Xenopus tropicalis: one gene and its partner. Each later gene encodes a partner of the first gene's protein in a complex. Links are inferred from orthologs where the notes say so. Each region holds a gene or a part of one and is shown on either strand. Other genes may lie near its edges. The genes, in order: mchr2 and pmch.

What was found.
Region 2: the proteins of mchr2 (region 1) and pmch are in contact, whole or in part, in a cryo-EM structure (PDB 8WST), measured with the Homo sapiens proteins. The link is inferred for Xenopus tropicalis from reciprocal best matches to the Homo sapiens genes MCHR2 and PMCH. Residues at the interface, in NP_001035269.1 of Homo sapiens: His82, Gln92, Trp93, Gly96, Gly97, Thr110, Asp113, Gln117, Ile175, Phe177, Val181, Ser183, Cys184, Ala185, Phe186, Leu188, Thr189, Ser190, Pro191, Val194, Tyr197, Thr198, Tyr267, Gln271, Asn274, Met277, Glu278, Gln279, Pro280, Phe284; in NP_002665.2 of Homo sapiens: Leu151, Arg152, Cys153, Met154, Leu155, Gly156, Arg157, Val158, Tyr159, Arg160, Pro161, Cys162, Trp163.

The regions. Positions count from the first base shown.
Region 1 is NC_030681.2:81,852,169-81,868,574, forward strand, and holds the end of mchr2 (melanin-concentrating hormone receptor 2), read left to right. Parts: intron 1-1,174; coding exon 1,175-1,369; intron 1,370-2,702; coding exon 2,703-2,822; intron 2,823-7,117; coding exon 7,118-7,439; 3' UTR 7,440-7,561; downstream 7,562-16,406. UniProt on the Homo sapiens protein: Receptor for melanin-concentrating hormone, coupled to G proteins that activate phosphoinositide hydrolysis.
Region 2 is NC_030679.2:49,140,340-49,158,130, forward strand, and holds pmch (pro-MCH), read right to left. Parts: upstream 8,794-17,791; 5' UTR 8,751-8,793; coding exon 8,502-8,750; intron 8,340-8,501; coding exon 8,135-8,339; intron 6,316-8,134; coding exon 6,266-6,315; 3' UTR 6,089-6,265; downstream 1-6,088. Other genes in the region: parpbp (PCNA-interacting partner), read left to right, coding at 1-98, 745-928, 2,115-2,293, 2,948-3,029, 3,357-3,519, 5,191-5,498. UniProt on the Homo sapiens protein: MCH may act as a neurotransmitter or neuromodulator in a broad array of neuronal functions directed toward the regulation of goal-directed behavior, such as food intake, and general arousal. May also have a role in spermatocyte differentiation.

The DNA of each region.
Region 1 (16,406 bases):
CTGCATCATTCGAAATCCTGGTAGGGGAGGAGGGGCTAAAACAAATTGTAACAATTTCTCCACAACTTACATACAGTATACAGGAAAAAACAATGCATTGCACTGCAAAGTTTCTTTCCTTATTGACATCACGTGTGCAGGGAATTGTGGGATTTGCAGCATGCAGGCTGAAGACAGGCTGAGGGCAGTCGACTACTGTTACATGTTTTTGAGTCTCAAAGTAGTCAGCCAGATCAGCAGGAGAACAGGCTTAGGTAACTGTTCCAAAGCTCAAAAAATGAAAAACAAGCTATATCGTGATACGAAGTATATAACTTACACTTAGGGGCATATTTATTATGCTGTGTAAAAAACGACGAGAAAATTCGCCACACATCGCCAGGCTTCGCTGTGTAAAAACGGCGTAAAATCTGCGTAATTTTTTTACACGGTGTAAAATCTGGCATTCAGACGGCGATCTTCTCCGTTTATTTTACACAGTTCTTACGCCGTTTTTCAGGAAATTTGTTTTACACAGCTTAATAAATATACCCCTTAGTTACGGTGGGTCCGGGTGCTCCAGCCCTAGACCCTCAGCTTAGGGAGCCAACCAGAAATACACACTGAGAAAGTAGGCTGGCGCTCCAGATAACCCAAATGTAAAACATCTCAAAGCAGCTCCGTTTATATTAAAAGCAGTCTTAGTTTATTGAATCTATGCACAATATACAAAAAAGCCTTACACGTTTTGTGCCACAAGGGGCACCAAACCATATTGTTATATTAAAAATCATGAAAAGGCTGCATATGTTTTAAATGTATGTATATTGCAATATATTGTATAAGTTGCTTCAAATTATATTTACTTTTCAAAAAGCTTACGTTGTGTTTGTGTGGAGTTCTTCTTTACAGGAAATTTAGTTTATATTGCTATCTGGGTGTGAACAGTTGCACAGAAAACTGCCACTCATTTTTTGCTGGAGTAGCTGTTGTGTTAAAAATATTACTATGTGCCGGTGATGTAAAATCTTTTTTTTTTCTTTTTACAAAATGCAAACTTTTATCCATGCCTATATATTGCGTATCTTACTCATATGCATCTTATAAAATACATAAATACATGCCAATTTTATACATTGACATCACACTTGGACATTTTCACTGCACTATACATTATTGGTTTATTTTCCTGCAGATACATGGCCCTTGTACAACCATTTCGGCTTACAAGCTTGAGGACTATATCAAAGACTATTCGAGTGAATGTTTTGCTCTGGGCAGCATCTTTTATTGTGGTGTTTCCAGTGTGGGTATATTCCAAAGTTATACAATTCAAAGATGGATTAGAAAGCTGTGCATTTGATTTAACAACACCAAACGATGTTCTCTGGTAAGCTTTAAAATGTGCATAGGTATTTCATTAATGCTGGAAAAATTGAAAAAATAGATTCATTTAAGTTACTGGAAGAATTTAGTCAATTACAATAAATACGTAATGATGACTTGGTGCCTTTTTCACACCCCTCTCTGTTAATCCCTCTGATGTTCCCTACAGTACTGTTCATTAGCGAGTTGAGCGAAAAAACGCGAGTTTTTCGTAGCCATTCCGAAAGTTGCGCAAAAACTTTCGGAATGGCTACGAAAAACTCGCGTTTTTTCGCAAAAATCGTATTGGTAACGAAAAAGTCGCGAAAATTTCCGAAAAAATTGCAAAATACCGATCATTACGAAAAAAAACGCAATCGGACACATTCGGCCCGTTCGTGGGTTAGTAAATGTGCCCCTTAGTAATAAAACAGAGCCTTTCTGTTTATTTATTCAGGTGTTGATGATTAAAACTCTCAAAAAGATAAGCATACCTTGTAGAGTATATTGGATCCTTGCTAGTGTATGAATATTTAAAGTGGTTCGCCTTTCTAAAAACTTCCAGTATATTATAGAATACCCTATAGTATTTCTAGCAACTTTGAAACTGGGTTTCATTATTTCATTTTTATACTTTTTGAATTATTTTCCTCCCTCTTCTTCCCCTTTCTAACTTTCAAATGGGGGTCACTGACCCCACAGTCAAATGATTGTTCTGGAAAGCTAAAATGATATAGTAATTTTTTATTAATTGTCTTATTATTCAGCATCTCTCCTATTCATATACTAGTCTCTTATTCAAACCACTGCCTGGTTTCTAGCACAAATAAGACCTTATCAACCATAAAGCTGCTGAAATATCAAACTAGAGAGCTGCTGAACACAAAGATAAATAGCTTAAAAAAAATAAAAAAATGAAGACTTATTATAGATTGTCTCAATGTCTACATCAATGATCCCCAACCAGTGGCCTGTGAGTAACATGTTGCTCCCAGTGGCCTCAAAGTAGGTGCCAGTTTTTAATTTTCTGGCTTGGAGGCAAGTTTTGGAAGCACAGAGACATAGTTTTCACATGGGGCTACCAAATAGCCAATCACATTGCTTATTTGGCATCCCCAAAAAACTTTTTTCATGCTTGCGTGGCTCACCAACACTTTTTACATCTTCATGTGGCTCACAAGTAAAAAAGGTTGGGGATCTCTAGTCTACATCATACTTAAAGGAAACTACCCTTTAAAGCATATTATAGAAATACCATAATTTGCTTCCCTCCTATTAGGGTCATTGTTTATGTATATTAATAAAAGGTGTCATTTTTATACCCCTCACTTATGAAGTCACGTATGTTTCTTTTGCAGGTACACACTTTACTTGACCATCACAACTTTTTTCTTTCCATTACCACTTATTTTAGCGTGTTATATTTTAATCCTTTGCTACACATGGGAGATGTATCATCAAAACAAATCTGCAGGACGGTAAGAGATAAATATTTTCACCTTTAATGATTACCTTGGTAGTGACATTTAGGGCTGAGATGAGATGGAGACGTGAAGATTAAGAGCAATAAGCAAAACATCACCACTTTTGATACTATTCCATTGGAGTTTAAGGGACAAGTTAAGTTATTTCCAATTGTCCCTACTACCAAAATAACCATTTTGGGAATTACTTTTTTTAAATCAGTCCATTCATTTATATGTGCTTTTGAATTAAGTTCATACATGATCCTGGGGTTCTATGCTGTGCAGCTGGAAGAGGTAGTCCACAAAGGAAAGTGAAGATTATAAACAAAGGATAATTTGGATAAGGATTTAAAAACTAGACACCATATCTGCATATTGGAGACAGGTGGGGTCACATGCTAGAGACTGGACAAGTGACATTCAAGCAAAGACACAAGAAAAATTAATGCTACGCAAAAAGGGTGGGCTTGAAACTTCAAAAGGAACAGGACTGGAGCAAGACTGGAATGAGACTGAAGCTCGATAAATGTACTAGATCTATACTAGGACAGACTGAAATCTTAAGAAAGCACCTAGGAACAAAATAACTTTGACCTGCAAAGCATGAAGAGCAAATGCCTAGCCACAGTTTAAATAGGGATAATTGGCAAAATTATGGCATGTCATTGTGGTGCCACAATACCATGGAGTTCTATTTCCAGTTCAAAATCATCTTAAGAAATGGAGCAAATCTGCGTGCACATGGGAAGATGCAATGAGCACCAATGTGGGAGCATTTTTTAAGCAGGCATGGATTAGCAGCGAAATTCTGTGAAATTTAGGCACAAAATTCATGGTTGCACTCATCCCTATGCACCACTTGTGTGTGACACCTACTGGAAATCACAAGGGTTTTTTCAACTTTTTTTTCACTTGTCCAAAGTGGAAGGATTAGTGACAGCAGATATTTCAGTCCTGCAATTGCTCTGATGAGAATGATTGGTATGTAGTGATGAACAAATTTTTTGCCAGGCATGGATTTACAGCGAAGTTCCGCATTTCGATATTGCCGATTTCTTTCGCAAAACTGCAGCACAATTTTGGTGAGGAAAAAGTCACAGTCGCATCAAAAAAGTCATGGTCGCATCAAAAAGTTGTGGTTGCATCAAATAAATCATGGTTGTGTCAAGTTCATCACGGGCGTGTCAAAAAAGTTGAGCACATCAAAAAAGGTGCATTTTGCAAATTTTTCAGCAGTTTTGCAAATTTTTGCGGGACAGATTCGCCATCACTCATGGCATTCTCAATCAAAACCCAAAGGCAACAGCATTTAGCCATTTTCAAAATAATAGTTGCTTAATAATAGTTTGTGCCAGGAAAGTAGGCCATGAACAGAGGTAACAAATACTGTGTATAACCATTGAGACTCTTTTTTATGTGAAAAAGTACTTGGAGCTTGAAAACTTATGAATTGGATAAGATTTAAAACCATACTGAAGGAAAAAATCTCTCTTAAGGAGCACTAAGGCTGAACAAATATTCTTGTTACTAGGATTTATCACTTTTTCAACCACTTTGCTGGGCAAGGAAAAAAGATTTGTAGAAGGCAGCTATAAATAAACACCACTGGTGGAATATACTGACTATTCTTTTCTATTACTTCCAGTAGCATCCCTAAATATCTGTTCCCAGTAATGCATGCCATGAAATATATGAATAGCTAGGACAATATCCATAATCCACTGAAATTGGCATGGCTGCATTGTTCTAAATGTATCATATATTACAATATACAAGGGATGATAAAAGATAAAGGATTATTTCCTGGCAAGAAATTGTTCACGTACAGCATTATTGTGTGTGTTCACACATAATGTTAAAATGTATTTGTACTTGTAAATGACGATGTAGTCCAACCTTGCCAAAGGGACTTTTTTATAAGAAAAAGAACTAAAACTGATATGATTCATAAAACTTTGTTGCTTTTACAATTTTACCTTCAGGTAGGAAAAAAGTGATAAAGTTCACTGACTTATATTACAGTATAAAAACACAACATAAATTTAATTTAAAGGTTGGTGAAATAAAAAAAAAAAAGTTGCCTTAATAAAAATGTAATATGGTTAAGGGTGACCTTAACTTTAATAATGCAGTTATATCTTAAAATGTTGACCAGCATGCCCTCTAGCAGCTTTACTTTCTGTTCATAGAGATGCCATATCTACTGCAAAGCAGAGATCTTCATATAAATGAAAAAATACAGTGTACCTATGGTGCATATTATAATGAATTCTGACTCCCCCAAACATTAAGTGGCTCCCTCTGTATTTATGGAATCCCTGATGATGGATTATGTGATCCAAAATGTGTAGGGAGCCACTACAAATGCGCACAGTTGTGGTACAAGGAGGGGGAGAGACACTAAGAAATAATTTGCAACATATGTGCGTGCTCATGGGATAAAAAGATGGCAAGCTGGCCCAGAGATTGATACCATTTGTGATATGCGTATATGTTTGAGTAAATATACTCTATTGGTGCTAGTCATTTTTAATTTTATTATAAATCTAACTCCTTAAGTAAATATTAAAAAAATATCACCAAAACTATGTCTGCAATATATTAAAGGAACAGTAACATCAAAAAATTAAAGTGTTTTAAAGTAATTAAAATATAATGTGCTGTTGCCCTGCAAAAAAATGGTGTTTTTGCTACAGAAAAGCTACTATATAAATAAGCTGCTGTGTAGCCATGGGGGCAGCCATTCAAGCTGGAATAAAGGAGAAAAGGCACAGGTTACATAGCAGATAACTAGTAGATAAGCCACATATAATGGGGGTTTATCTGTTATTTGCTAAGTAACCTGTGCCTTTTCTCCTTTGAATGGCTGCCCCCATGGCTACACAGCAGCTAACTTATATAAACTATAGTAGTCTTTCTGAGGCAAACACACCAGTTGTAGCAATGCAGGGCAACAGTACATTATATTGGTATTACTTTTATACACTTTCATTTTTTGGTGTTACTGTTCCTTTAATTATATAATAGTAATTATATTATTATACTACCAGTGTGGTTGGAAAGGTCATCTTAAGGACAGGATAATATGTATTTATATCTATTTTTTATTTACTGTATATAGTGCTACTTATGTACACAGCACTGTACAGCAGAACAGTACATTAATAGAACAAATGGTGTCACTACAATAATAAGTACAGATAAATACAAAGTACCGTTACATTAAGAAATAGTGTCAGTAGACAAGATAGTAATGTTACATGCATTGTGAAAAACCAGTAGTTAGTATGTGTGTCTTTTAGTGTATGTTATTTTATGGTATTTGATAATAGAATAACAATCAATACAATGCCATTATTTTAACTCAAAGGCCCAGGTGTGTCCATGAATTGTGTGGTTGCATCATTATAATTCTAACATATTTGACTTTTACTCCAGTTTATTCAGAGAGGAAATAAATGGCATCCATTAAAAAGGGGTAAATAGAGACCCAAGGGTATGTTGCAGTGAGGTTCTTTTGTGTACCATTGGCACCTTGTTTTTTGTTCATGTTTATGCAGGCATTGGACTATATTTTCTAGCAATAAAACCCAAACACTTCTATGTCAACTTGATATTTGATTCCAAATTAATTTTGTCACACCTAAACTGCAGAGTAATCTCCTTGTGTTAGATAATAGCAAAGTGACTGGGGTAAAGGAGGTAGGGAGGATTCTTTCGAAAGCATCATATTCCATCTGTGTGAGATGCTTATTTTAGAGAGCCAGTGAATGCTCTATGAAGGGGTTATGTATTAACAGTCATATAAGTCTACTTATATGTCTACAGTCTGTGTCATTTGCCTGTATCTAGTAAACCATAGCAACCAATCAGATGTTTGTAACCCCAGACACAATTTCTAAATCACTAAGCTGCACAAAATCGCCCAACTTAGTGCTTGTTTACCCAGCACTTATGTTTGGGGCATTGTGCAAGATGCAGAGAGCAAGCTAGGTAACTTAGTAAAGGAGAATGCATGCCTCCCCCAGCCCGCCACTTATTAGTAGAGTGCCGCCAAATGTCATTTTTGTGCACAAATTCCTGCGTCTGTGGTGGTAATTGTGGGTCAGGGTGCAAACATGCTTGCGACTGTTTTTTTTCTACTTTTCATACCACCCTGCACTTTGAAATTCCCCCCTAGAAAGCTTGTATTTATTCCATATTGAATGACTTATCTGAGGTTTTATCCATAGAGAAACCTCTGAAATATGATAAGATACAGTTATGAAAGCCATGCAGTATTAAAGATTTGTTTTTCTGTCTTTCAGATACAACAACAGCATACCGAGACAGAGAGTCCTGCGTCTTACCAAAATGGTACTCGTTTTGGTGGGGGTTTATATTGTCAGTTCTGCCCCCTACCATGTGATACAGATTGTGAACCTTCAGATTTCTCAGCCATCACTAACTTTCTACGTTAGCTATTATTGCTCCATTTGTCTCAGCTATGCCAGCAGCGGCATTAATCCTTTCCTTTATGTTCTTCTTAGTGGAAACTTCCGCAAAAGACTTTCTGACTGCACCAAAACGAAAATCAGAATGTCAGAGCGGGAGCTAAATTATATAGATACTTTGAAATCCAGCTTTTAATGTTTTACTTTTTGTTTTGTAAATGTAAATTGCACAAAAGGCTGTTTATCAATTTGTGTTAGCAACAAGTAGAGAGAACTCTGTGGATATACTTTGTGAAATTAAAAGTAAAATGTCCAGGAAAGGAGAATAGTTTATGCAATAATGAAAGGCTGACCTTGGGTGCTTTGATTACTGTGTTTTAAGTAGCCCATTTTGGTGCCAAAGTAATTTAAACTTCCCCTATTAAACTGCATAAGAATGGCTTATAAGTGTCTATGGAAGAGCTTGGCAGGCAATAGTTTGCCTAAGTGGACTGCTGCTTTTCAAGGCAACTATTGCCTGACAAACCCTTTGCATAAGTCTTTTTTTACCTGGGGTGCGTTGGCACTGTATTTTTGGGCTACTTAATGCAAAGCCTGAAATTTACATGTGTGCCATTAACTTATCAGTGAAACAATGAATGATGTGGGGTTGTGGATAATTAGTAGTGACTTGAGCTAATTACAGCTATTAAATTTACAGTACGTAAACCACAGTAGTAGTTATGTAGGAATAAATACTAAAATAGTTTAATAGCTCCCTATCTCAGCCTGTTGGAAAACCCTGTTTATTGTTCATTTCAGTAGGAGAAAGGATATGGCTGTATGCCTGATGCTTCAGATAGACATTCTCCGTTCTTATGTTTCTTTTGGGATCCATTATCCAGAAACCTGTTATCTAGAAAGCTCCGAATTACGGAAAGGCCATCTCCGATATGCTCCATTTTAATCAAATAATTCAGATTTTTCCTTTTCTCTGAAATAATAGTAATACAGTATCCTGAACTTGATCCCAGCAAAAATATATTGGAGGTAAAACAATCTTATTGGGTTTATTTATTGTTTAAATTTTTTTTAGTAGAATTAAGGTATGGAGATCCAAATTATGGAAATATCTCCAAGCATTCTGGATAACAGGTCCTATACCATAAGCATCTCACTTGGGATGATTAACCCTAAGGCACCTCATTGAGTCTTGGCTTTTCATGATCATTTAAAGTTATATAAGACCAATGCATAGTCAATGGGGTCCCTAGTCAGATGGCAAGTAGAGGAATGTAATGATTGGCCTCAATAATGATATAATACCTGCACTATAGCTATCTTAATTACTATTCACCACTTGCTTAGACTCCCAAAGGGTTGTAGGCTCTAGAATGCTAATAAATAATTTTGTAATTGATATATAGAGCAGTTTAAAATATACCTTTTCCTTTTAAGTTAGCAGTAGATAACTCTGCATTTTAAAAATTCAAATACAAAGCATATGAATATCCACAGTGCCAGAAAATGACCATATTTATTTTGTTAGCACTAATAGGACTTAAGTTTGTGTTCACTTGTAGGATAGTCTGTTAGATTAGTCATATTTATTACAATGTGTATAGAGAGTGTATTTATATGATGTGTTCAACAATGATTCTGTATAATAAAACTATTTGGACTATCATCTGTCCAAAATTCTATAATATAGATGCAGATTGTATAAAAAGAGATTGAGCTGTTTTGGTTTTTAAAACAGCCTTATTCAGCCTACCTTACTGTGATTATGTGGCAATTGCATTTATGTGCACAGTTGCCAAAGATGTACATGTCAGCATATTTTATAAAACACTGTATAAACAGCGTGAATAATAAATATATGATAAAAAGGAGTATATTACTTTCATGAGTTTAAAAGTGAATGTCACTGTGCAGACTGTAAATATACAGACACATTATGATCATTCACTTGCACAATACACAGTGCTTGAATTGGAGTGAAAAAAGTGGAGGGATGTTACGTACACTGCACGTAGAGAGGCGTGCCAAAAATAAGCCCCTCCTACTATTACAAGCCATGACCACTGATATAATACACCTTGCCCACCAACACTTCTGGTTTCACTCACTTTAAAGCAAAGCCATTTGGCTATTTTAATGTACTGAACAGGTTGATACTCAATATGCAAAGATTTACAAGTATGTGTAGTAGTGCATATGAATTTTCTCAGCCTCTGCAAACACGGCACCCTGCCTGCATATTGTGTGTAGTAAAACAGCATATTTTATATTACCCCACATTATTTAATATATATCATCCTCTCACCATTCCTCTGCTACTGTTCTCTACCTTTATTTTCTCTGTTTGTTTCCCCTATTTTCTTCTTCTCTCCTGTTCTCTATAACCCTATAATACTTGTCCATCTCTCCCCTACGTCTCTCCCAGCAATAATTCTGGTATTACAAAAAAAAAGTCCCAGGATTCAAAACTCTTGCATCACCCCTGAGGGAGTGGTGTTTCTGCCATGAGGAGAGTTGAGAACTTTAGGTGGTAGTGGTCCAAGTCACCAAGGGTGGCAAAAAGCCACTCCTGGTAACATTGTAAATAGCAACATCTATAATAACTCTTTAAAAAAAGCAAACAAGAACAAAAAGCCACAAGAAATTTGATTATCCTGGCAAGGAAAATAGCAAGAAAGTAAGTAACAAAATATAGGGATCTAAAAATAGAAATGTTGAGAAAGTGGAAGGCTACAAAAGTCTATGGGTCAAGTGTATAGGTCTGTGATATGAGAATCATTTCTGTACTGATGAATAAAGTGTGAATTTTTAATCCAGTAACTTGCTCTGTGGTGCTCTGAGAGATACACATTTCCATCTAAAAACAGAAAATTTGTAATCAAATATAATACACAATTTGCATGGAGAAGTAGAAATGCCTGCTGGTAAGGCAACATCTTGCCAGCTAATTAGGAAAGATAATGAAGCTGTAGAAATGTTAAATGAATTGCCCACTGAGTAGGGGAACAGATAACAAATCCTAAAGCCACAACTGATTGTAAGATTTAGATTTGCTGAAACATGTTCCTTGGAATTATGGATGACTGTATTTGATTTTTTGGGTTCTTACGCAGAAAAAAAGACATGTACACAAAATGGCAGGATCTTGTCTGGACTTTACTCTAAACAACACAGACAGACTGCTTTTTTTACAAGGTACACAAATCTCTCACTTTTGAAATTGTAGTCTTCCTGACTGCTCCAAGGATTTCTCACTAAACACCCCAATTCGCACCCTGCTACTCACAATTTAATATACAAGAGATCAGCTGAAATATCAGCATTCCAAGGAAGCTTCATGCTTTTAGGAAGGAACTAAACCAAACCTTCAGTCTGTCCCATTGCTCCTGCTAGTTCTCATAAGAAGTTGACAATAAAACACAATTACACATGGAAAACAATTTGTCAATGTGAATTATACTGACCAGAAACTTACTATGCACTATGCCAGGAATTCTGCATTTATCTTACATACAGAGATTATTATGTTGTTATTATTATGTTATTAGTATGTTATTATTATGTTATTAGTATGTTGTTGAAACCAAAGTTTCAAATATGGGCTATTGATGACCCCTATGTGGACAGACAGTCTATAAGAGGCTCTGTTTGACAATACTTATGGTTTTGATGTAACTAAAGCTTGCCTTCAAATCAATCAGTTACTCAATGCACACCTACTAACCACAAAAGGCAGAAAATGGTATGTTTAACATATAATGCTCTTTATAAGGAAAATATTCACAGAACAGTAAATACAATTACAATGCATAATATACATTCCACCAGTTGGACAAAATGCAATATACAGAAGCTTACCCTCAAGCCAGGATTAAAAAATAAGCAGGTTGGTAAAGAACATGTTGCTCACGAGCCACTGGCTAGGGATCACTGCCATAATCAAACATGGGAATAAAGGGCAGACTTTCAACTCACATTGCAAGGCCAAAGAACATCAAAGCAAAGCATCTGATTGGCTGCTATGAGCAACATCACCAGTAATTTTTCATTCCACTTTATTCACAGCATGATAAATATACCCCTTAATCTTGATAACAAATAAAACTATGTTGGGACTTGTAGTCCCAACAATGCAGTGGTTGAGCAATTCAGTATAGTATTGTTTATTGTCCTGTAATAATTGTTTGAAAACAAAAAAAAAAGCATTGGAAATGGATAGGTATATGCAGCTCCCCTTCTTTCCCAGTGGATTTTGAGGTAGAAAATATTTAAAGTTCAGCCTTTATTAACTAGAGTCCTAAGTAAGTAAAATAGTTCAAAATTTTCTACATTAGCTGTAATCTTCATATGAAATATCAAAATGAAAAAGTATTCATTCAGGGAAATGATTCTCCATAATTATCATTTGGGTTCCTTTTCATGTTATTTATAATTTCTTGACTATTTGTCAGTAATGAGACAGGCTTGAGAAGATAAACAGACAGCTATTTCCAGACTGGACTTTTAATAGAATAAATTCAGTCAGAGTCAGCGATGCATTAATCATCTCTTTTCTATAAATGATTTCCCTACGGATCAGTCTTTATGATTGAAGGATTGTAGCTAAGGAACATGCATCAAAAGATAACTCATATTCAAAAAAGGATGAATGAAAATCTATTGAACCTGCTGATAATTAGTAACATATACCCGTGCATTTATTTCATGTGGGTATATTTCTTTGTCCCATAAATTCAGCATGCCGAAATGTAACAGTGTTTGTCAGATATTTTAAGTAGTAAGATTGTGTTGAAGCAACAGGATAAGAACGAGTTAAAGGATATGGAGGATGCAATAGAATTGTTAAACAGTTTAGAGATTGTGAGGATAGTCCTGTCTCAGTGGTTTTGTTATTGAGCTGGTGAAACTCAGTTTAGCCATGGACTTTCTTCCTGCCTTGCCTTCAAATGCTAGGGCCTACCTCTAGTTATGTTGGGTTGAAAACCCCAACATACTGTTCTTCGACTTTGGCTTATTCTTCCGCTTCTTCTTCTTATTCTTAGCGCCCCCCATTTTCTAAACACTACTCCTCCTACAGTTTTAGGGGTACAACACCCAAACTCGCCACACAGCTTCGCCCTATAGCAGAGCAGGTTGCTTGTACTTTTCTAAGCGATCCGGCCCCCCGTCTTTTTGTGGTGCCGCTCCGAACCCCCCAATTTTCCCATTGACTTTGACAGGGAAGATTTTCAAACTGCTGCCACTCTTACAGCTTTGAAGCTACACCCCCAAACTTGAATAACATAATCATGGGGTCACCCCAAATGAAACAGCAACATTTTTTGGATGACCCCAAAGTGGGAGGGGCCAGCAACAGCCAATCAAATTTCACCCATTGACTTTAATGGGGAAATTGAAACTGCGGCCAATCTTCCAGCTTTGAGGCCACACTCCCCAAACTTGAATCACATAGTCATGGGGTCAGCCTGAATGGAAATATGATGATTGCTGGATGCCCAAAAGTGGGCAGAGCTGTGAACAGCCAATCAGATTTTACCTATTGATTTGGCGGAAATTCAACCTGCTGCCATTCTCACAGTAATAATGCCAGGGTCCCCAAACTTTTTACACTTGGTCACTAGGGGACTGCAGTTTTAGATTTGAAAAGTGGGCGGAGCCACCAACAGCCAATCAAATTTTACCTATTGATTTTTATTGGTTTGAAGCCAGAGTTCCCAAATTTGCACAGCCAGTCACTGGGTGACTACACACTCAAGTTTTTTAAAAAAAAAAAAACCACACAGTGGGAGGGGCCAACAACAGCCAATCAAATTTTACCCATTGACTTTTATGGGAAAATTGAAACTGCTGCCAATCTTACAGCTTTGAGGCTACACTCCCCAAAGTTGAATCACATAGTCATGGGGTCAGCCTGAATGAAAATATGATGATTGTTGGATGCCCAAATGTGGGCGGAGCTATGAACAACCAATCAAATTTTACCTATGGACTTGGCAGAAATCCAACCTGCTGCCATTCTCACAGTAATAACCCCAGAGTCCCCAAACTTTGCAGGGTTAGGCACCAGGTAACTGTGGTTCAAGGTAAGAAAAAGTGGGTGGAGCCACCAACAGCCAATCAGAGTTTACCTATTGACTTTCAATGGGGAAATTCAATCTGCTGCCATTCTCACAGAATTAACACCAGGGTCCCCAAACTTTTCACAGTTGGTCACTAGGGGACTGAAGTTTGAGTTTTGAAAAGTGGGCGTAGCCACCAACAACCAATCAGATTTCACCTATTGAATTTTATTGGTTTGATGCCAGGGTTCGCAAACTTTGCACAGTCACTGCGTGACTTCGTACTCAAGGTTAGAAAAAGTGGGCGGGGCCGCCAAAAGCCAATCACATTTCTTTCATTGTTTCACATGTTTAATGTCAGGGTCCCCAAACTTAGCACAGTTTGTCACTGGGTGACTATGTTCCAAGTTTAGAAAAGTGGGCGGGGCCAACAACAACCAATCAGATTTCACCTATAGACTTCATAGGTTTAAATTTAAACTGCTGCTATTCTTTAAATAATAATACTAAGGTCTCCAAACTTTGCAGAGTTAGTTACCAGGTAACTGCGGTTCAGAGTTAGAAAAAAGTGGGTGGAGCCACCAACAGCCAATTATATTTTAACTATTGATTTTCAATGGGGAATTTAAACCTGCTGCCATTCTTACAGTATTAACACCAGGGTGACTAGGGGGCTGCATTTTTTAGGTTTTAAAAAATGGGTGGAGCCACCAACAGCCAATCAGACATCACCTATTGATTTTTTTTGTTTAAATTTAAAATGCTGCCTTTCTCACACTATTTATGTCAAAGTTCCCAAACTTTGCACAGTCAGTCACTGGGTGACTACATATTCAGAGTTAGAACAAGTGGGTGGAGCCACCAACAGCAAATACATTTCCACCCATTAGATTTCATTGGTTTATATTTAAACTGATTTCATTATTTAAATATTAATTCCAGGGCTGTTAAAGTTTCCAGAGTTAGTCACTGGGTGTTTGCCGTTCAAAATTCGAAAAAAGTGGGCGAAGCCACCAACAGCCAGTAACATTTCATCTATTTACTTTCAATGGTGAAGTGTAAAATGCTGTCAGTCTCACTATTTTTATGCCTAAGTTCCCAAAATTTGCAAAGTTGGTCACTGGGGGACTGCAGTTCAAAAATAGGAAAAGTGGGTTGGGCCAATCAGATTTCATCCATTGAATTTTATTGGTTTAAATTTAAAATGCTGCCGTTCTTTAACTATTAATCCTAGGGTCCCTAAACTTTGCAGAGTTAGTCACTGGGTAACTGCAGTTCCAGGTTAGAAAAAGGGGGTGGAGCCACCAACCGCCAATCAGATGTCACTTGTTGACTTTCAGTGGGGAAATTTAAATTGCTGCCATTCAGACACTATTAAAACCAGGGTCCCCAAACTTTGCACAGTGGTTTTTACTATATAACTGTGCTCCAAGGTCAGAGAAAGTGGGCAGAGCCCATTCAGTGACGTCATGTTTTTCAACCCAACATGAAGTTTGTTCTCAAACTTCCCTTTCTAATTAATACTACTGTCTGTCCTGTTGACTCCTGTCTGTTTCCCAGCCAGAGGCCTCCTAGGTCTCTATTTCAAAATACTTCAACCAGTCACCGCTGTGACTCCATTTAGGTCCCCTGGTGGTCCCTGGTGACAGATATAAATGGTAATATAGTTTCCTACACGCCAATGTAAAAATTAAAGGAATACTGTCATGGTAAAACAAAAAAATTGTTTTTTTTTCAAAACTCATCAGTTAATAGAGCTTCTCCATGCAGAATTCTGCATTTAAATCTGTTTTTCAAAAACAGACATGTGGCCTGTACTCTGATAAACTTCAGTCGCACTTTACTGCTGAGCTGCAAGTTGGAGTGATATCACCCCCCTCCCAGCCGCTGATCAGCAGAACAATGGGAAGGTAGCAAGATAGCAGCTCCCAGTAGATATCAGAATAGCATGCAATAGTAAGAAATCCAAGTCCAGCTTGGGACTCCTCCAGTTAAATGGGATTAGAAGAAACAATAGGTTACCTGAAAGCAGTTCTAATGTGTAGCGCTGGCTCTTTCTGAAAGCTCAGACTCAGCACAATGCACTGAGATGGCTGCCTACACACCAATATTACAGCTAAAAAAATACATTTGTTGGTTCAAGAATAATAGGGTAGATTGAATTATTGGCTATGTAAACAGTGTAATTTAGAAATGAAAAATACACCATAAAATTATTACAGATCCCTTTAAGTTAAAAAATCCTTTCCTAAAATCCAATCTAAAAATTAAGTTATAAATCCTTGCTGTTATCTCTCTGTCAGTACAGCTGTTCACAAAATGTTCTTGCTGTGATGTACATCTGAACATTCTAATGGCTGCTCTCTTATCTTTACAATTGCTCTTCAGTTAACATTGTAAGACTGTACTTGTATACAAACTATCCGGTATACATGTTTTACATGAGAACATTAACACTGCTAACGCATCCTACAGAATGGCAAAAATAGATGTTACTGAGCACTAATTTAAGGGCTTCCCAAAATACCAAAAACTTGACCTGATTTACTAATATATATCAACATCAATATCAATTAATTAATTAGGGCCCTGCTGGGCCCTTTTCTTTTCTGGGCTTTACTACAGTTACAGGATCTTCTTCCTCCATGCCAAGTTTAGGAGGAGAAGTTTTCTTTAAAAACTTATTTTCTGTAGCTAACCTATTTGATTTTGCCATGGACTCGTTGCCAGTTCTGAACTATTCTTTGCAACTGTTTGCCATTACTTAAGATTTTCATTATTGATTTTCAGAAGATTATAGATTCTTAGAGAAATTCAATTACTTGGGTGGCTTGTGGACTACTATGGCAGTATGTCAGGGACAATATGGATACATGGAAAGCCCTTATGGGGTTTTTCACTTCTGGGAATTTTTATGGAAGAGATGTGAAACTAGTATGCATATTGTTTCTATCGCATCAGTATGAATCACTGCAATGTAAAGCCCCTTGGCAAAGCCCCTTTATTGTAAAACCCCTTCAAAGGTTGATGAATCCCAAATCATTGCCCAGTTTGTGGAACGAATAAGCCACTTTTCTTTCACCATTTAGGAGTACTACTGTTCT
Region 2 (17,791 bases), on another chromosome or scaffold:
GAGTCAGATCCCTTAAGGAAACACTTGAAAGGACTTTCTCTTTTTGTTCACTTTGTTGATAGACTTAATGAAGTTCTTGGAGAGACAAATGATCCAAGGTAATAAACCTTTTCTGATGTATTATGTTGATATTTTAGCAACTCCCCATAGCTGTTGCATAGCAAAACCTTTCGGTGTATAGCTAGTCAGCTGCATGGGTACGTTTCAAAGCTTCTCTTTGCATTGTAAAATAACCCTTACTATCTTTTGGTGCACACATCAAACCACAGACAAGCAAGGCATTGTGGGAACTGGAGTCTTAGTAAGGAGTTTTGGCTTCCGACAATCTTGCAGTAGTACAAATAGAACAAGTAGTTGAGAGTATAGTTAGGAAAGGACAGGTGTTGCTTTAAATAGCAGTTACATTTGTAATTGACTTCAAAACGTTACTTTATAAATATTTGGTAACTTTCCAATATACATTAATATTTTCAAACGTCCAAATATCCCCTTTAGATATGGTAATCCTATTTTGTTGCAGAAACCTATTCGTTTTGGGTAATATGAAATTAGTTTCTCAGTGTAATCTAGTTGGTAGTGCCACATATGTTTACTTATCTGGAATGTATAAGAATAAGATTTTTGTTTTTTTTTTTAAATGTATCTAGATGGCCCTTTTGGAATAAAGTAAATAGATTTCTAAGAGGTTCTTCACAATAATTTTATTTAAAAAAAAAGCAACACTGTTCAACATCTCTATTTCAGAACGGCAGGGGAGCTGTTATTGTCAACCATCAAGATGCATCTCATAAAAGGCAGAAGCAGTGGGGATCCACTTAGTGAGGCTGCGACTGACGTTGCACAAGACCTGGATCTGAGGATTAAAAACCTTATTAATTTACTTAGTGAGGACAAATATAGTGTCACCCCAGGCATCAGCCCAGCCAGGGTAAACTATTTTTTATCTACTTTAGTAGTACTATGTAATGCAGTTTTTGTTGGTCCAATATTGTTTGTATGTATATATGCCCAGAATATACATTTGAACATATTACATTTGGAAAAGTCAAAGTATACCTAAGGAATGAGTTGTATCACAATCTCTGCACAAAATAGCTAGTGTTTCCCAATATGTTTAATTGAAGAAAGTACACTCTGTGTGTGTGTGTGTGTGTGTGTGTGTTATTATATACATTTTAGAGGGGTCTCTTGGTATTATTCTTATTTCACCAAAATACATGCTTCAATTTCTATACAGGTATGGGACCCCTTTTCCGGAAACCCGTTATCCAGAAAGCTCTGAATTACGGAAAGCCCGTCTCCCATAAACTCCATTTTAATCAAATAATTCAGAATTTTAAAACTGCTTTCCTTTTTCTCTGTAATAATAAAACAGTACCTTGTAATTGATCCCAACTAAGATATAATTAATCCTTATTGGATGTAAAACAACCCTATTGGGTTTAATTAATGTTTTATTGTTTTTTTTAGTAGACTTAATGTATGGAGTTCCAAATTACGGAAAGACCCCTTATCTGGAATACCCTTGGTCCCGAGCATTCTGGATAACGGGTCCCATACCTGTATTACATTGTGACCAATTCTAACTAGGCATTGCTTATGCAGTTATTCCCGTTTGCCTCTGGTCACACATGATAATCTCACACTCCTTACTATTTGTTCGTGTGCTGACATTGCTTCCAGAGACCGTTTGGAACTCTGAAGTGAGTATGTCACCTGTCACTTTAGACAGAGTGAGACTCAGCTGGTTCAATGTTGGGTATCAGAATAGAAAAGGTAATTGTCTGGTGTACAGTGTGTGCCGTAAAAAAACCACCACGCTGGTTACTCGGCTTCAAATAGAAGCCAAGCTGGCAAAGTGTTTTCCAGCCCCACCTCAGGGCTGCAACACTCATTGACTGGTTTCCTGCAAGGCTTTATCCTTTAGGCAATGCTGACATTTCCTGTATGAAAGTCTAAGGAGAGTCTATTTCTGGAAATTGGTCATTTTTATGTTTTTGGCCTGGAACTTGATTTCATTCAATTCTTTTTCTTGACACTTATTGGAAAGCATATACAAAAGTCTCCCATCCTAACTAGAAACCAGTTTTAATATGAGGTGTTCTTGTTTACAGCCTAAAATTCATGCAATAAACCGTGGCACTGCTTCAGGTGGTAGGGAAATGATAAAAACTCTGTTGAAACTTTTGGATGAGGAAGCTGCAAATCCCCCTAGCAAAAACAAAGCAGATCTTCTTTGTGCTGATGAAGAAAATACTCTTTTTGGAGCAGTTTCTCTCTTTACCCTATTTAGGTATGTTTATTATGTATTTCTCTACTTTTGTGTGTATTAAGACATAATTTAAAAGTATTAAGACAATCTATTTTAGAATAAACTTTTCTCTGTTCCATGTCACCATATTGAAAGCCTTTGCTAAGACACTTAAAGGAAAACTATACCCACTAACAATAAATATCTCTATAAAAATATATTGCATACACAAGCTCATATGTAAAACTCTCTCTTATCTAAATAAACCATTTTCATCCTAAATAGAAAATTGCCATTTTAAGAATTAAGGGCCGCTTCCTGGGATCACAGGATTCACAGTGCACACAAACAAGCCAAGGCACACATACATGCTAGGCCACATCAGCCAAATAATGGACAGGGTTCTGTCTTTTGCTTCCTGTTACAGTCAAAGCTGGTCATGTGATCTCTGAGGGAGCACACAGCCCATCACTAAATGGCGGATCAAGGAAAACGATGTAAAAGGGCAATATTTACTGATTTTTATTTATATTCTAGTCTGGCAAAGATTCTTTAATAGGCCCTTTAACTTAACCAGCAGTTTATATATAAAATAACAAGTGTATATCCCCCAGCTTCACTACTACATGGTTTTTAACAGCAATGTAATGATTTGTGTATATACTAATGCTATCTCCTTTTACATTTCGTGTGTAGGTCTCCTGAACAGAAAAATGGTTCTTCCCCCAAACCTCTAAGCCATCGTGTGCAGAAAGCCATGGATAAAAATAAGCCTAAGGTAAACATCTGCAGATTCTCTGTTTATCTTAAATATTCTTGTGTATTCTATCCTTTTTATGGTATTTTTAGTCACATCTAAAACAATAAAATGGAAGAAAATGCATTTGCATACATTTTTTCTATTTGAATGTAATGTAGTAATGTACAGTATAATTACTGGCAAGTATGTTCAGTAGGGGGCTGCTGGCCTCAATTTGGACATGACAGGTTGTAGGTTTAAAAATATCCCACTATGTGCAGTACATCTAAACATTAATCTCACTGGAAGAATCCCTAGATTAAATATTTGTATTCTAATCTTTTTTTTTTTTTTTCCTATTTTTAGTTGAAACAAAACCTAATCAGATCTCAGTTTGCCTGCACCTATAAAGACAGTAATTTGGCTCAAATAAAACAATGGGATTTTCCAAGTCTGAGCCAAGTTCCAACTTGTATTCATCCGGCACCAAGAATTGTTCCAGTGCTTTGTTTTGACGAGGAGCCATTAGGTATGATTTCATTATCTTTTTAACTTGTGTAGTAACTTGGTGCAACTTTGCCTTGGGGTGATCATTCCTTAATTCACGAGACCAGGGGTTATGTAATGAAAGTTTGTTACAGATCTAATCTCGAATAGCAACCGGCAGGTAGCCTTTACTGGACACCTGTGTAAAAGCTAACCTCTTATTTTCATGGTTACAGTGCCTCGGCAAGCTTTGTATTTTTTTATTACATATGGGAAATGGAATATTTGTTTTTTATTGGTTACATGAATGATGCAAACCATGTGGTGCAGGTAGTTCTGGAGAACTTTGTCTGACCTACTGCATTTCTGCATGTGATGAAAATGAATTTTCCCCCCTATATTTATGCATAAATATGACTTTGGTCTTTTCCTAAAATAAGATAGGAAAGATAATGTAACAATGCAAAATCCTTCATTTATTAATTGAGGAAAATAATTCAGATTTACACATTTGCGTGTGGCAAATGTATGGGAGCCTTTGCTTTCAGTAACATGCCTCCTTGGACAGCATTAAGTGCAACTGAAAGTTTTCAGTAACTGTTAATCAGTCCTGCACATTGGCTTGGAGGAATTTTTAGTTCATTCCTCTTTATAACATTGCTTCAACTCACCGATATTGGTGGGCTTTATCCTGTGAATTGCCCATGTATAGCCGTGGCTTTCTCCTTGCAAGCCTGTCATGCACACACCATTGTTCAGTGTTCCCCAGATGGTGGACTAATGCAAGAGGGGACATTACATAGTAACATAGTAGTAAGCTGATTACTGCTCATAATGCCATTCTCCAGTACATAATTTTGTATGTAATCCCTTCAAATAACTTGCCCACCACAGATGTCAAACTTACAGGCCTATAATTGCCAGGCTGAGATCTTACTCCCTTTTTAAATATAGGACACAATATCAGAAACAAAGGCCACTGTAATTCTGACCCTAGCTCTCAGTACCTGAGGGTGTATTCCATCTGGCCCAGGTGCCTTGTTTACATTTATCTTGTGTAACCCTTTAAGCACCATATCCTGTGTCAACCACTGGACATTAGACCAATGCAAAAGAGAACACTAGTTTCTGGGACATTAGCCTGGGATTCTCTGAGATCTTCCAGAGTATTGCACTCCTTTGCAAACATGTGTAATGGTTGACTCATTTAATTTGTCTGTTTATTTATATAGCTTTATAGGACATGTACATTTTAAATATGCTTAACATGTAAATGAGTTGGGCACATCTTCCCCACCCAATTGCATAATATTGTGCTGCATTTATTCACATCTTTCCATTGGTCCCTAGACTGGATAGGGGTATGTTTAGTAATCTATGCTGAGAAGATTCACTGCCTTATCTTGGAAGTGAGCATGCTCAGAAGCCAACAGCCAAAGTTAATTCCCAAGGGAGGGGGCTGAGTTTTTTTTGGAGGAGTGGTTGGTGTTTAAATATTTCAAAGAGGCTGGTTACAGATTATTTTATTTTTGTCAGGGGTTTAAGGGGTTTAAGATGTCCTTTTAAGACTTGTAAGAAATGTGTGAGAAACCGATGAGGAGGATTTAGGACATTTACGCAAAAAATATTGAACATGTTTAAGGGTTTAACAAACTTTCGGGTGAAACTATAGCTGTATAACAGAAGCCTATGATTTTATTTTGCTTTATTTCAGAAAATAGTGATTTACAGAAACAAGAGCTTAAATTAAGTTCTGGAAATATTGACCTGAAAACTGGTGGGCAAGTTAAGAACAAACCATGCAAAAATGTGGCGAACAAAAGGTCAAAGAGAAAGCAGGTGGACATACAGAGTGAAACCACTAATGCACAGGAGAATGAACCCCCACAAAAGAAAGCAGTTGTTGAAATAACATCAAAAAAGGAAAATAAACCGTGTGTACCAAGAAACTGCAATAAATCTTCATCAAAGAACAAACTAATTGCCGGACAAGCTAAATTAACCAGTTTCTTCCGGGTGTAAATTGCTGTCACTGGTTTTAACCCTTCTAGGGGTTAAATTAAATATGTAGGAAATGTTTCTAAAGAGTAGCCTTTCTGTATATACTGTGTTCTGAACCCTGTCACCTTTTTGGAATGTTTTGATACCCAGACATGAGGAGCACCGAACTTCTATGCTTCAGGGAACCTTGCTTTGCCTAGTGTAAGGGAGATCAAGCATCATACTCTGACATGGGTACTTGGATTATGTACTGTGCCAACTGAAAGCTGATTCTTCCCTACCCAGCCCTGTAGTGCAGAGTGATAAAGATGCAGAGACATATTTTCTTTAAAGACCTTGCCTGCATATTTATCTAATTCCTAGACAAGCTTTTGTGTTAGGCCTGGTAGTTGCTGCTTGATATACAAAGTATCTTCTGTTTTAGAAAAAAAAATATTGCAAATTGCCCAGGTGAGCAATTTGAGTATCTATACTTTTCATTTTGTTGGAGGTATTCTGTCTTAATAGCTTCTGTGTCTGCAACTGGCTGTAATATTGAATGTAAATATTTTTATGGCCGAAAATTATTTGATTTATTTTATTTGTAAATACTTTTATACTTTTACAAACAGTTAGGGTTGCCATAGGTTTTTTTTTTTATTTTGTTTTTAATAAAATTACACAACAAATACTGGTGCCTTTCTTTTGCTTCCTTTTTTGTTACATATACGATATGGTATGCAAATACGTAATGTTCATTCAGTCTTTGAAAACACTGTCTTCATATTTATTTTGAGTGTCTTTGCCGATCATATCTGCCAGCAGGGTCGATAGACTCTTCCAAGCATGCACCTGAGCACTGAAAAACAAACACACATGTACCCCATTTTGTGAATTCATCATCCTTTTGTTTTATTATACCTGTGTAATAACATTAACATACTTATGGAAATATATGTGTTAAATGCAAGGGAAAATCTATATAGCTGTTTGCAATAAACATTATTAGGTGCCCCATTGACCCAAAATATTAACTGGACCTTTGGTAAAGGGTCTGTTTCAATATTTTCCCAACACAGTGTTGAAACAGCATCTATTGGACACCTGTGCTAGATGCAGAGAAACTGTACATTTTGCATAGTCTGGTGAAGGCATGCCCTTTGGTCTGTGCCAGCCTTAGCTAAGTAATGGATGTACCAGCTATGATTTGAGTGTACCAAATTGGCCAGTGACTAGTAACACTTAGTAACACCCATGGGAATACTGGTCAGTCATAGCTTGGCAATTATTCTCTATTCTAACACACCAGAGGTATGGGATTTGTTATCCAAAAATCTCCATTATTATCTCTGTAATAATAAAACAGTACCTTGCACTTGATCCCAACTAAGATATAATTAATCCTTATTGGAGGTAAAATACTCATATTAGGTTTGTTTAATGTTTAAATTATTTTAGCAGGTTTAACGTGTGGCAGTCCAAATTATGGAAAGACTCCTTATACAGAAAACCCTAGGTACCTGGCATTCTGGATAACCGGTCCCATACCTGAATATAAATAACTACAAAGTGTTGGGAAATATGTTAAAGATTTGTACGTATGCACGTATAGAGTGCCATTTTAACTTTGGCACTAGGTAATACAGTTTGCTAAGAGAATCTTTCATTTTTTTTCTGTCGTGTATGCAGGTCGCTAATTGGGACTAAATACACCATTAGGCCCAGGGGCCTTTGCAGAGCAGCCTCCTGCTTTCTGCAGTTGTTGTAAACACAGCAAGGGCCCTTGCCTGTTATCCTTTTTACAGACTGTAGGTCATGTTGCAACCTTCAGAAGCCTCTGAAATATGAAAGTATCTGGCATGTTTTCTCTGGTGGAGAATCTGCTGTTTGTTTTCTTCACCAAGCTAATTTTACAAAGGTAGACCTTGGTGTGTATAACTTCAGGAAACATCTTTGTATCTCTTTGTGTGACATTATCCTGCCTGTAGAATATGACTTGGCAAGAAATGATTGGCAAAGCTTTACTACAATTGATTATTAAGTCACTGTTACTAGAATTATTCTGCAATTATATAAGTGGGGAAGACTAATGTTAGCCATATATGTGCACATACACAGATCCGTATTACCAAGATTACCTATTTTTGACAAATGATAAATACTGGTTGGCCATTGACACTGACTCATGTAACAGCCCATAGGCCTACCAGGCACAGAGTAGCAGCACACTTTCACTTTAGACTGATCCATGTTGTGAGTTAAGATCCACATTTGTGGCTAGAGTTCACAAGATCCTATTGATCATATATTCAAGTGAATAAAATAAGCTGACAATATCAGAATTATGCGTTCTACTAATTAGCTGATGCACTGACATAAAAAATTTGAAACCAAATCTGTTCCCTAAGTTGAGAAAAAACAACAAAACTTCATCACCTACAAAGAAACATTCTATCACTAGTTCCATGATACTAAGGGCTCTGGTTCCATTCAGCTAAATGCTAAGGTTTCAGAAATTATATCTTGCAAAAAACGTGGTTTGTTATTTCAAACTAGCAAAAAGTGGTGTGGGAATGAACTGGTTTCTGTGCAACCCTACTTAGTCAGAGGTGCCACAGGGAAACATTTGAAATGTGTATAAATTCAGTAGTTATAATAAATAGCACATGCATGCTTACTGTCAAAATCTCTTCTTCCTACTGGGAATTTTGCAGCATTTTCTTCATCTCCAATATCTCTCCGTTCCTGTGCTGATTCTGCATTCTGATCTTCATTTTCCGAGTGATGTAATGAGTTTCTAAATGCAAGGTATGGCATCTGTTTGATTCCAATGTTTAGTGGAAGTCCATCGTGACTCAAGTAATTTTGTTGAGAATCTATGGTCTGTAAGATAAGTAGAACAATTCTGCTAATATGAGCTTCAACGTATTAAATGCAATTGAAAAAAATTGCCAGAAGAATATCATATAATTAAAGACTTACTCGCTTTAAAGCAGCTATTGCCTAATGCCACTTGATGCAGAGAATATGTAAAATGTTATTTACCTTCATGTTTCTCTCTTCCTCTTCATTTAAGATGTTGCCTCCATCTGTTTTGTATTGGTTGTTTGGATCTCCTATTGGCTTCTCTAGCGTGTCACCGTTTCGAAAAGCTTTTCTTAGTGTAATGGTATCAAGAAGTAAATCATCATTTTCTGCTTTCCTGATGGATTTTGACACAGCAATCAGGAAACCTTGAGAAAGGATGGAGAGTGATATTAAGAGTGGGTATCCTAAAGTAATCATCCTTACCATCGCTTACGTAGGCCTTTGCCAACTATCTGATTTGCCTGCAAGTGATATCAGACAGAGGTGGGAGCCCTTTTATATGGTTTACTGAAGAAAAGCCTCACACAAAAGATCTGAAGACCTGCAGTTTCTCTCAATGAGTCACACAGAAGAAAACCTTTCAATTGTCAAGAGGCCAAAATGTATAATAACTAAAGAAAAGGGATTCTCCTATTAATCCATGAAAAAAGGGTTTTGTACATGTATAGAGAGAGGTGACACTAAATGTTTTTCCCCCTAACAAACAATATGTCCCTAATAGCTTTGTGAATCTGTATTGAGCAATGTTCAATAGCCTACCCTTTATTACACTGAAGTACTTTGATTTAAAACCTTACACACTGTGACCTGTGTGTGTTCTGTTTAGCAGCATAGTTGGCTCTTTTTCCAACTTACTGTGAAGCTTTGTAATTATTTAAATTACATTTTCCAAGTATTCTATGTTGAAATTATGTTTGGACTTAACCCCTGCTGTGAAATGCTTATGTGTTTAGAATCCCTGGTAATATCTGCACATTCATGTTCTTACAGCAAATCTCTCCAGTCCACTTAATGTGTTTCCCTGCTGAAGCCTAGATAGTATTCTGAGATGTACATATATCAATAGACGCAGCAGCAAGCCAGGAAGGATTAGCGCAACTATACAGAAGTGCAATGAGATTGTTTTGGCGCAATTAACTTTAACGAAAGTGGTTTTATGCACAACTGACTGGAAAATGCAGGGAATGCAACTGTGGACATAAATGAGCCCTAGTTAGTAGTTCAGGCCTCTTGTTTTCTTCTTTTGTTGCACTAATCTGTAACACCTTGAGCAGTATGGATGGATGCTGAATTACCATGATAAATGTTCTATTTTACCACTAGCACTAGCACCTTTAGCACTATAGTCTATAGTAGCAGGATTTTGCTTTCTATTTTTTTTAATTTGTTCCTATGAACAACTGCACTGATTCAGATTTCCACTTATGTTGGCAAATAAGCTGACATATCTCCATTGATACAGTACCTCTCAGTTGTGCAGTGTTTACAAATAATTGTCCTAAATTATTATCAGCTTCATTTCATGCTTGCAAGTCAAAGATAGTTTATCAGTAATGTTAATTTTTGTGGACTGACTCAACAAGGATGTTGCTACTTTCACTATGCTGTCAGCTTTAGTATTGTTCCCTGAAAATTAAACCCCAGGTTATGTCCTGAAAATTGGCCCATGGTTTGACTTATGTTCTGTGTAATTACTTTTTCATTAGGCACAAAATAATCTCAAATGTAAAACAGATTCACCTGAATGAAGTAAGGTTATGTATATGCTGTGTATTAAATTTAAACCTCAGGATTTTATTTTTTAAATGGTGTTTTTTTTTAAACTGATTTTCCATTACAGTTGTTACAAATGGAATTAAAAAAAAAAGAGATTATAATGGGGTATATTTATCATGCTGTGTAAAAAGTGGAGTAAACCATTTACGGTGATGTTGCTCATAGCAGCCAATCAGATGCTTTGCTTTGGTTTTCTAACTGTTGACATCTATTTGCTGATTGGTTTCCCTGGGCAACATCACTGGTAATCCTTTACTCCACTTTTTACACAGCATGATAAATATACCCTTCATTGTTATGTTTATTAAATAAATTTCAGCTATACTATTTCTTTGTGGGTAGCAGTATAATCAAGTCATGTGAAACATATATTAACAGAGAGAAGCAGCATAGCCCTTAAAAACATTATTTAAAGAAAATCAAGGTAAAATAAAATAACAGTATTAACCAACAATGGCATTGCACATGTAGGCTTAATGAAAGTTTGGGAAGAGCTGGTTTTCCAGATAAGTATTCTATGGGGTGTATTTATAGTGTTTCGTAGAGCTTTAAGGAAGCTCGTTAGCCTGATATATCTAATGTGATCCAGAAATTGCTGTCTTCATGATGGATGATTTTCCTTCCATTTGAAAGCAATGCAACATCTTTCTGTTAATAAAATTAAATAGGCCAGTCTTTTTTTTTTTTTAAAGAAACTGAACTTTTTAACTCATGCTTTACTGACTTAGAAATTTGGATGTAAAATAATGTTCCAATGAATCGAAGGAAGAGTCTCCTTTCCATTCTAACCATTTTATGTTTAATGTAGTCTAGTATATTGATTAAACATGGATTGCGGTGAGAGACAGGCCACTACTGAAACTAAAATGATCAGCTCAGACTACAGTTCAGTTTTTATTTATTGCAGACATTTAAGTTAGTCAACTTTTACAGAAGATGAATCAGCAGCCGATAAACATTATGACACATTTACTGCTAAGGGAATGGATGAATATCCAGTTTTATTCATTGTAGATCACACACCCTAGTAAGGCAATAGAAATCTCTCTACTACTGCTTTAAAAGGTCATCCGGCAGAATTCTTATTTATTCCACCGACTACTTTATAATAACCTAGTCTGGTCTCTGATGTTATTAGGAGCAGAGAAAAAGAGAAACAAAAAAGGCAGCCTATCAAAATGTAGCTGAAAGCATCTGTAAATATAACTGATTTACTGCTGCTCACATTGAATACAACATTTATTCGCTTTTGAAAAGAAAATATTTGCTCCCAGATGTAAAGATTTAATTTTGGGATTTTTAAAGGTTTGGATATTAACCCAAATAGGATAAAAATAGAAAGTGGTATTTTGAGACAATTTGCAAATGGTCTTTAGCAGTTTTCCAGTTTGGAAATTCATCAGCTATCTGGTTGATAGGGTTGAGGTTACCCCAGCAACCAGGCAGTGATTTGAATAAGAGCCTGGATTATGAAAAGGAGAGGCCTGAATAGAAAGATAAGTAATAAATAGTAGCAATAACAATTACATTGAAGAATCACAGAGCATTCATTTTTAGCTGATGGGGTCAAAAAAGCTAGAAAGTGTTAAAGAAGAAGATAAACAATTCAAACACTATAAGAAATAAAAAATAAAGACCAACTGAGAATATGCCATTTTATATCATACTAAAAGTTAATTTAAAGGTAGACTACCCCTTTAACTACAAAATTAAGAAGGAAAGATTTTCGTGGAAGAAGTTCACATACACCGAATAAAGGCACAAACCAAACATGAACAAGCTTTTAAAATACCTTTGTATTTCTGTAGTTTTATGAACTCAGTGCCCTAAAGGTAAAGTTTACAATCCTTTAATAGAGTTGTTACAAAACTTTTTTTTTTTTTTTATATTAACAATTGCAGATTGTTGGTTATAGTTTAGAAAATCTATGGGAATTCTGCGCCATATTTACAGAATGCCATTCTGTATAATGGCCACAGCAAAAGACTGATTTTAAGGAACAGTTATTTCAATACATTGATCAGATGGAATGACTTAGATAAATAGTGTGACTATTCTGTGCTATTTCTCGAGCACCCTGTGTAGTGCAATATTTGGCATGGCTTCAGTACAGAAGAAGATTAGTTTATTTGTTATCTCTCCAGTCCTTCAACTCTTCTTCTCATAAAATCCAGCTTTTGTGATCTGATTTATTCATTGAAATGTTCACCTTTGTACATATCATTCTCTGACTTTGTAATCCATGGGAAGGCAGAAGAATCCAGCTGTGATCACAAATCCTCTATTAAGCTTCTTTCAACATCATGTTTAATAAAGAAGCTTCTGTCATTTTGATAGATTATGTGTCTTATTTTGTATGTTGGACTGTTCACAAGAGGCTGATACTGGCAAATAGGAGGTGCTCGTCATCTGCAACTTTGAACAAAAAGTCATTTTTAATACAGACATCAATGTGAGAAGAAAAACCTAAATAGCGTTTTCCAAATATTTCCAAATATAAACAATTATTTTACAAATAATAAATAGTAAGTATAAGTAAATAATAAGTAAAGTTTATGCATCATAAAATAACACAAACAAATTTATATCTATATTTCAGTGTTGTATATTAAAGGAACTATAGATGCGATTAGACCTTCCCTCTTCAGTCTCTCAATAGGTTTTATAGTCTGCTTTCTATGTCTTCATCATAATATAATTAACTCCATAAGAAAGGGCAAAAAAATCCTCGGATATAGTAGCACAGAATAGATATTGGTGCAAAGAGGTTACTTATAAGCAAATCTGTCCTTTTTCAATTTGCTGGAAAATTCGCGAAATGCGGAAAATGATGCACATAAAAAAAATTGTTGCACGAAAAAGGAAAATTCAGACTCGTCAAAAATGAAAATGGTACAGTTTAATTTAGGGCTACATCCCTCTAATGTTATAGTTAAGAAAAGAAAGAATATAACAATTCTGTGTTTGGTGTCTGTAATTGTTATTCCTTGCCTACGATCCACAGTTTAACATTTAAATGCCATATACTGCAGTTATAGGGGATGGGAGATCTTTGTATGACATAAACCTATAATTATATGACTTCCTTAAAACATTGGGAATACAGTGGGATACTGAGGCATAACTACATACAAATTAAAGGCTAGAGTCACAGTGGCTTATCAGTTTGAATGAGACCCAGGAGTAGGGTTCTGTTATTCCCCAATAACAACATTGGCATCCAGCATAATTTCTACCAGCCAGGAGCCATCCCTACCCTGAAGCTCCCATTAGATTAGCATGTTTGACTCTGGGTAATGTTTTAACTAGTAGACAAGTCTCTATTATATTGTGATCTAGGCTTTATAGGGGAATTAAACCATTCCATAGCTGTTTTTTCCCACCCATGTTGCTGCGATCTTCTCCAGGACCTTACTTTGTGTCTCACTTATCCCCATTGCTTTAGTTTAGAAACTCTTGAGGCCAGTGACCTTATTCCCTACTGTGTCAGTTTGTCTGTCAGTTGTTATGTTACTATGTTGGTGCTTTGTAAATGAATGTAGTAATAATATTATTAAATGTAGGTTAAGAAATACTGCTAAATACTGCCCAGAGGTTCAAATGATTCAAAAGTAACTTTTTGTAAGGGTGAAGACACATGGAGCTACCAGTAGCAGCTACTTGTAGTGGTTACTAAAATAGACAATGCTGATCATTTACTGATAACTGTCTCTATGTGTGTTTTAGCAGAGGCAATTCTCAGTATTGTCTATGGCAGGGTATTTTCTGGTGTTTAGTAGTTGTGAAAAAGTAGTTGCTACAAGCAGCTCCGTGTGTCTTCACCCTAAGAGTACTGCCTGCTCTGTTTACACTTGACTATCTCATTGATGAGGGCATTTTCACATGTTTTCTAGATTTGAACAGCTCAATGTCCTCCTTTCTAATGCTTGATTACAACATAATGTTGGCAAGCAAAAATTGCATCTTAAAGGAACAGGAACACCAAAAAATGAAAGTGTATAAAAGTAACTAAAATATAATGTGCTGCTGCCCTGCACTGGTAAAAGCTGTGTGTTTACTTCAGAAAGTCTTCTATAATTTATATAAATAAGCTGCTATGTAGCCATGGAGGCAGCCATTCAAAAGAGAAAAGGCACAGGCACATAGCAGATAACAGATAAAACACCATTGTATTCTACAGAACTTTCTGTTATCTGCTATGTAACCTGTGCCTTTTCTACTTTTTTTCCAGCTTGAATGGCTGCCTCCGTGGCTACACAGCAGCTTATTATATAAATTATAGTAGTGTTTCTGTAGCAAACACACCAGTTTTACCAGTGCAGGGCAACAGTGCATTATATTTTTATTACTTTAAAGCTCTTTCATTTTTTGGTGTTACTGTTCCTTTAATATGTTAATATGGATGTGCCACCTATTGGTCAGGCAGGTTTAAAAGCCAAGGTGGATGAGAACTGCATTGAGATGTTGATGCAATCCTCTTATGATAGGTCAGCATAGGTCTATTGTGATCTAAATCTTGATAAAACTGGCTAGATCTTGTGTATGGCTCACTTTAGGATCAGACCTGTGGGACATATTCACTTGTGATAAAAAAAAATTGGCATTATGTTAATGTTACTTGGCGATGCTTTCGTTTTGAATCTTTATCTAATTTTGCTTTCTGGTTTAAACTTGTCCTTAGCTGCAAAGGATCATTTTCATTAGGATTAGGTTTGTTTCTCATTTGATCATTTGTTTCTGTAAACCCACACACAAACCTATTGTAAAACCTAATTGTACTTAGATCACTTTTGCACTAGATGGAGCTGAAACATCAATCATTTTTAACAGTTTACTGTAACAGTATTTTTAATAAGGTAGACCTGAGACCACAATGGCTAAAGCAGTGTGCAAAGCATTTCACATCACAGGTTAATGTTTGGACTGCTGGACTGTGGGAAAACTTCTTTTATGCAGGAAAGCAGCACTTATTGCTTTAGCCATTAACCAAGCACAGTAACGTGTCTTAGAACAAAGATACTGGAATTATTCCAGTGTTTGTTTATAGGATGAACAGTCTTTTCATAATGAGCTTTCCTTATAAAGGACATAAACCTTCCCCAAAACATTCTTATTTGTGCCCCCTAGCTTTGTAAAGCTACTCTACTCTTCTCTACTGAGCATCATCCCTACCAACACTAAAACAGAGGTATGGGTATTATCTAACATAGTGGGATTCAGACAGATATGTAAGATTGCATATTTTTTATTTATATAAAACTATGGAAGATGTTTGCCCCCTGTAATATATATATATATATATATATATGCCACTGCAAATAATGTATCCCTACATACACTGTATATTAAACCTAAGTCAATATGCAGGAGCAGTTTTCCGACATCAAAGATGCTGAGAGCAGCAGCGGACAATAAAGACATGTAATATGTAGTCTGAAAGTGACAATTTTTGCTGATGATACAAATTAGAGATTATATTCAGATCAGTATACAGCCTACACAAAAAAACCCCAGACAACAGTGCCCACTTAGTTAGCAATGGATTCTCCTTGCCTTGGGGCTAATGATTTTGCTAATGGTATACCCAACATACAGTACATATGTTGAAAAGTATTTAAACTCAAGAGGTCTAATAGAATAATGGCTGTTCAGCACAATAATTATTTTATTAACAGAGATACAGAAGTTGTTCTACAACAGAACATAAAAAGGTGATTTTTTCACTCATGGGAGATGCTGCTGGGTCACTTGTTTGAACCAAATTTTTTGAAATGTTATTTGTATAATTTGATTCATTGTGAGTAATGTAATACATGGTCTTCCTATTTTTCTAGTAACAGCATTTACAGGTCAGCTGTTTGGAAACACACATCTGACTGGTTGCTATTGATTACTAGATGTGGTCAGACTTAAGACTTTTTACTACATCACCCTGATTATTGTATCTTTTTTCTTTATTGGTAGTACTTAAGAGCAAAGCCCATTTTAGGTCATATACAGAATTATTTCACAGCTGTGTACAATTAATTGTATAGTTACTGGATTTTAAAGAAGACATAATAGATGAGCTTTAAAGCATCTTGATATAAAGGGGCAATTGGCACTTGTGTGTATTACAGTTGCCTAGATGATGCTGGCTTGGAAAACATAAATAGCATCATTTTTAGGAAAAACACATTGGCGAGCTGAGAGTTCTTTGGCATTCATTATGTGATATTCCCTTTTCCTTTGAAACAATTTGCTGACTCATATGAGGGTTACAAATTAATCTTGTACATAAGTAATCTATTGAAGAATTCTAAGATAGCCCTAAACTATATTCTGTCCAAAGCAAGGACAATTCTAACTATATTAATGTTACAGTCCCCAGTTTCCAAAAAAGAAGATTCCTTTGGGAAGTCTCTCACTCATACTATTCATCATTTAAATTGCCCATGTAACCCAGAGCTGACAATATTGTCAAATCTGTATCTATGAGTTTGTATCAACTGCATCTCATATGGGTCCCCAGCTATATATTTGTGTTATTCTTACTCTTGGTATAAAAAGCTATTCACAATGCCAATAGTCAATACAAACATGCTGATAAACACACATGGCTGAATAACCCACATACCTGTAGGACATATTCAAGCATCAAAAGTGTTTGTCGTGTTTCATATTTTTGACCTATACTCACATATGCTCATATGTTAACAACTGGCTTTGGCAGATGGCAAATTGGCCATCTATTTGTATTTCTGGCCAAACCTTCTACCAAATTTCGCCATTATTGAGGGGGGGGGGGGAATGGGTGCAGTCAAATGATTTGGCAGGAGGAGGGAGATTTCCCTATAACCAGTATTTTTATTAATTCCTTCATTCTCCTTTAAATACTAAGGGGGAGATTTATTAAGACACAAACGCTCCGAGCGTTCGTTTGATCGGAGCGTTCGTGTTTTCTGTGACTTTTTCGTACCTTGCGTATTTTCGCAGTTTTTTTGTTATTTTACGCAACTTTTTCATACTGTGCGTTAAAAATAACGCAACAAAACTGTATTGTCGTAACGAGTACAAAAGTTTCGGATACATTCAAGCTTCGGTATCGTGACTTTCCTTGGGCCAGGTTGGAGCTGCAGAGTGCCATTGAGTTCTATGGGAGACTTTCCTTGGGCCGGGTTGGAGCTGCAGAGTGCCATTGAGCCCTATGGGAGACTTTCCTTGGGCCAGGTTGGAGCTGCAGAGTGCCATTGAGCCCTATGGGAGACTTTCCTTGGGCCAGGTTGGAGCTGCAGAGTGCCATTGAGCCCTATGCGAGACTTTCCTTGGGCTGGGTTGGAGCTGCAGAGTGCCATTGAGCCCTATGGGACACTTTCCTTGGGCCAGGTTGGAGCTGCAGAGTGCCATTGAGCCCTATGGGAGGCTTTCCTTGGGCCAGGTTGGAGCTGCAGAGTGCCATTGAGCCCTATGGGAGACTTTCCTTGGGCCGGGTTGGAGCTGCAGAGTGCCATTGAGCCCTATGGGACACTTTCCTTGGGCCAGGTTGGAGCTGCAGAGTGCCATTGAGCCCTATGGGAGGCTTTCCTTGGGCCAGGTTGGAGCTGCAGAGTGCCATTGATTTCTATGGGAGGCTTCCAAAATCATGCACTGAAGGATCAAAGTCAGAAAGGTTTTCCTGCATTTTACGATCATTCGGATACGAAAATTTTGTG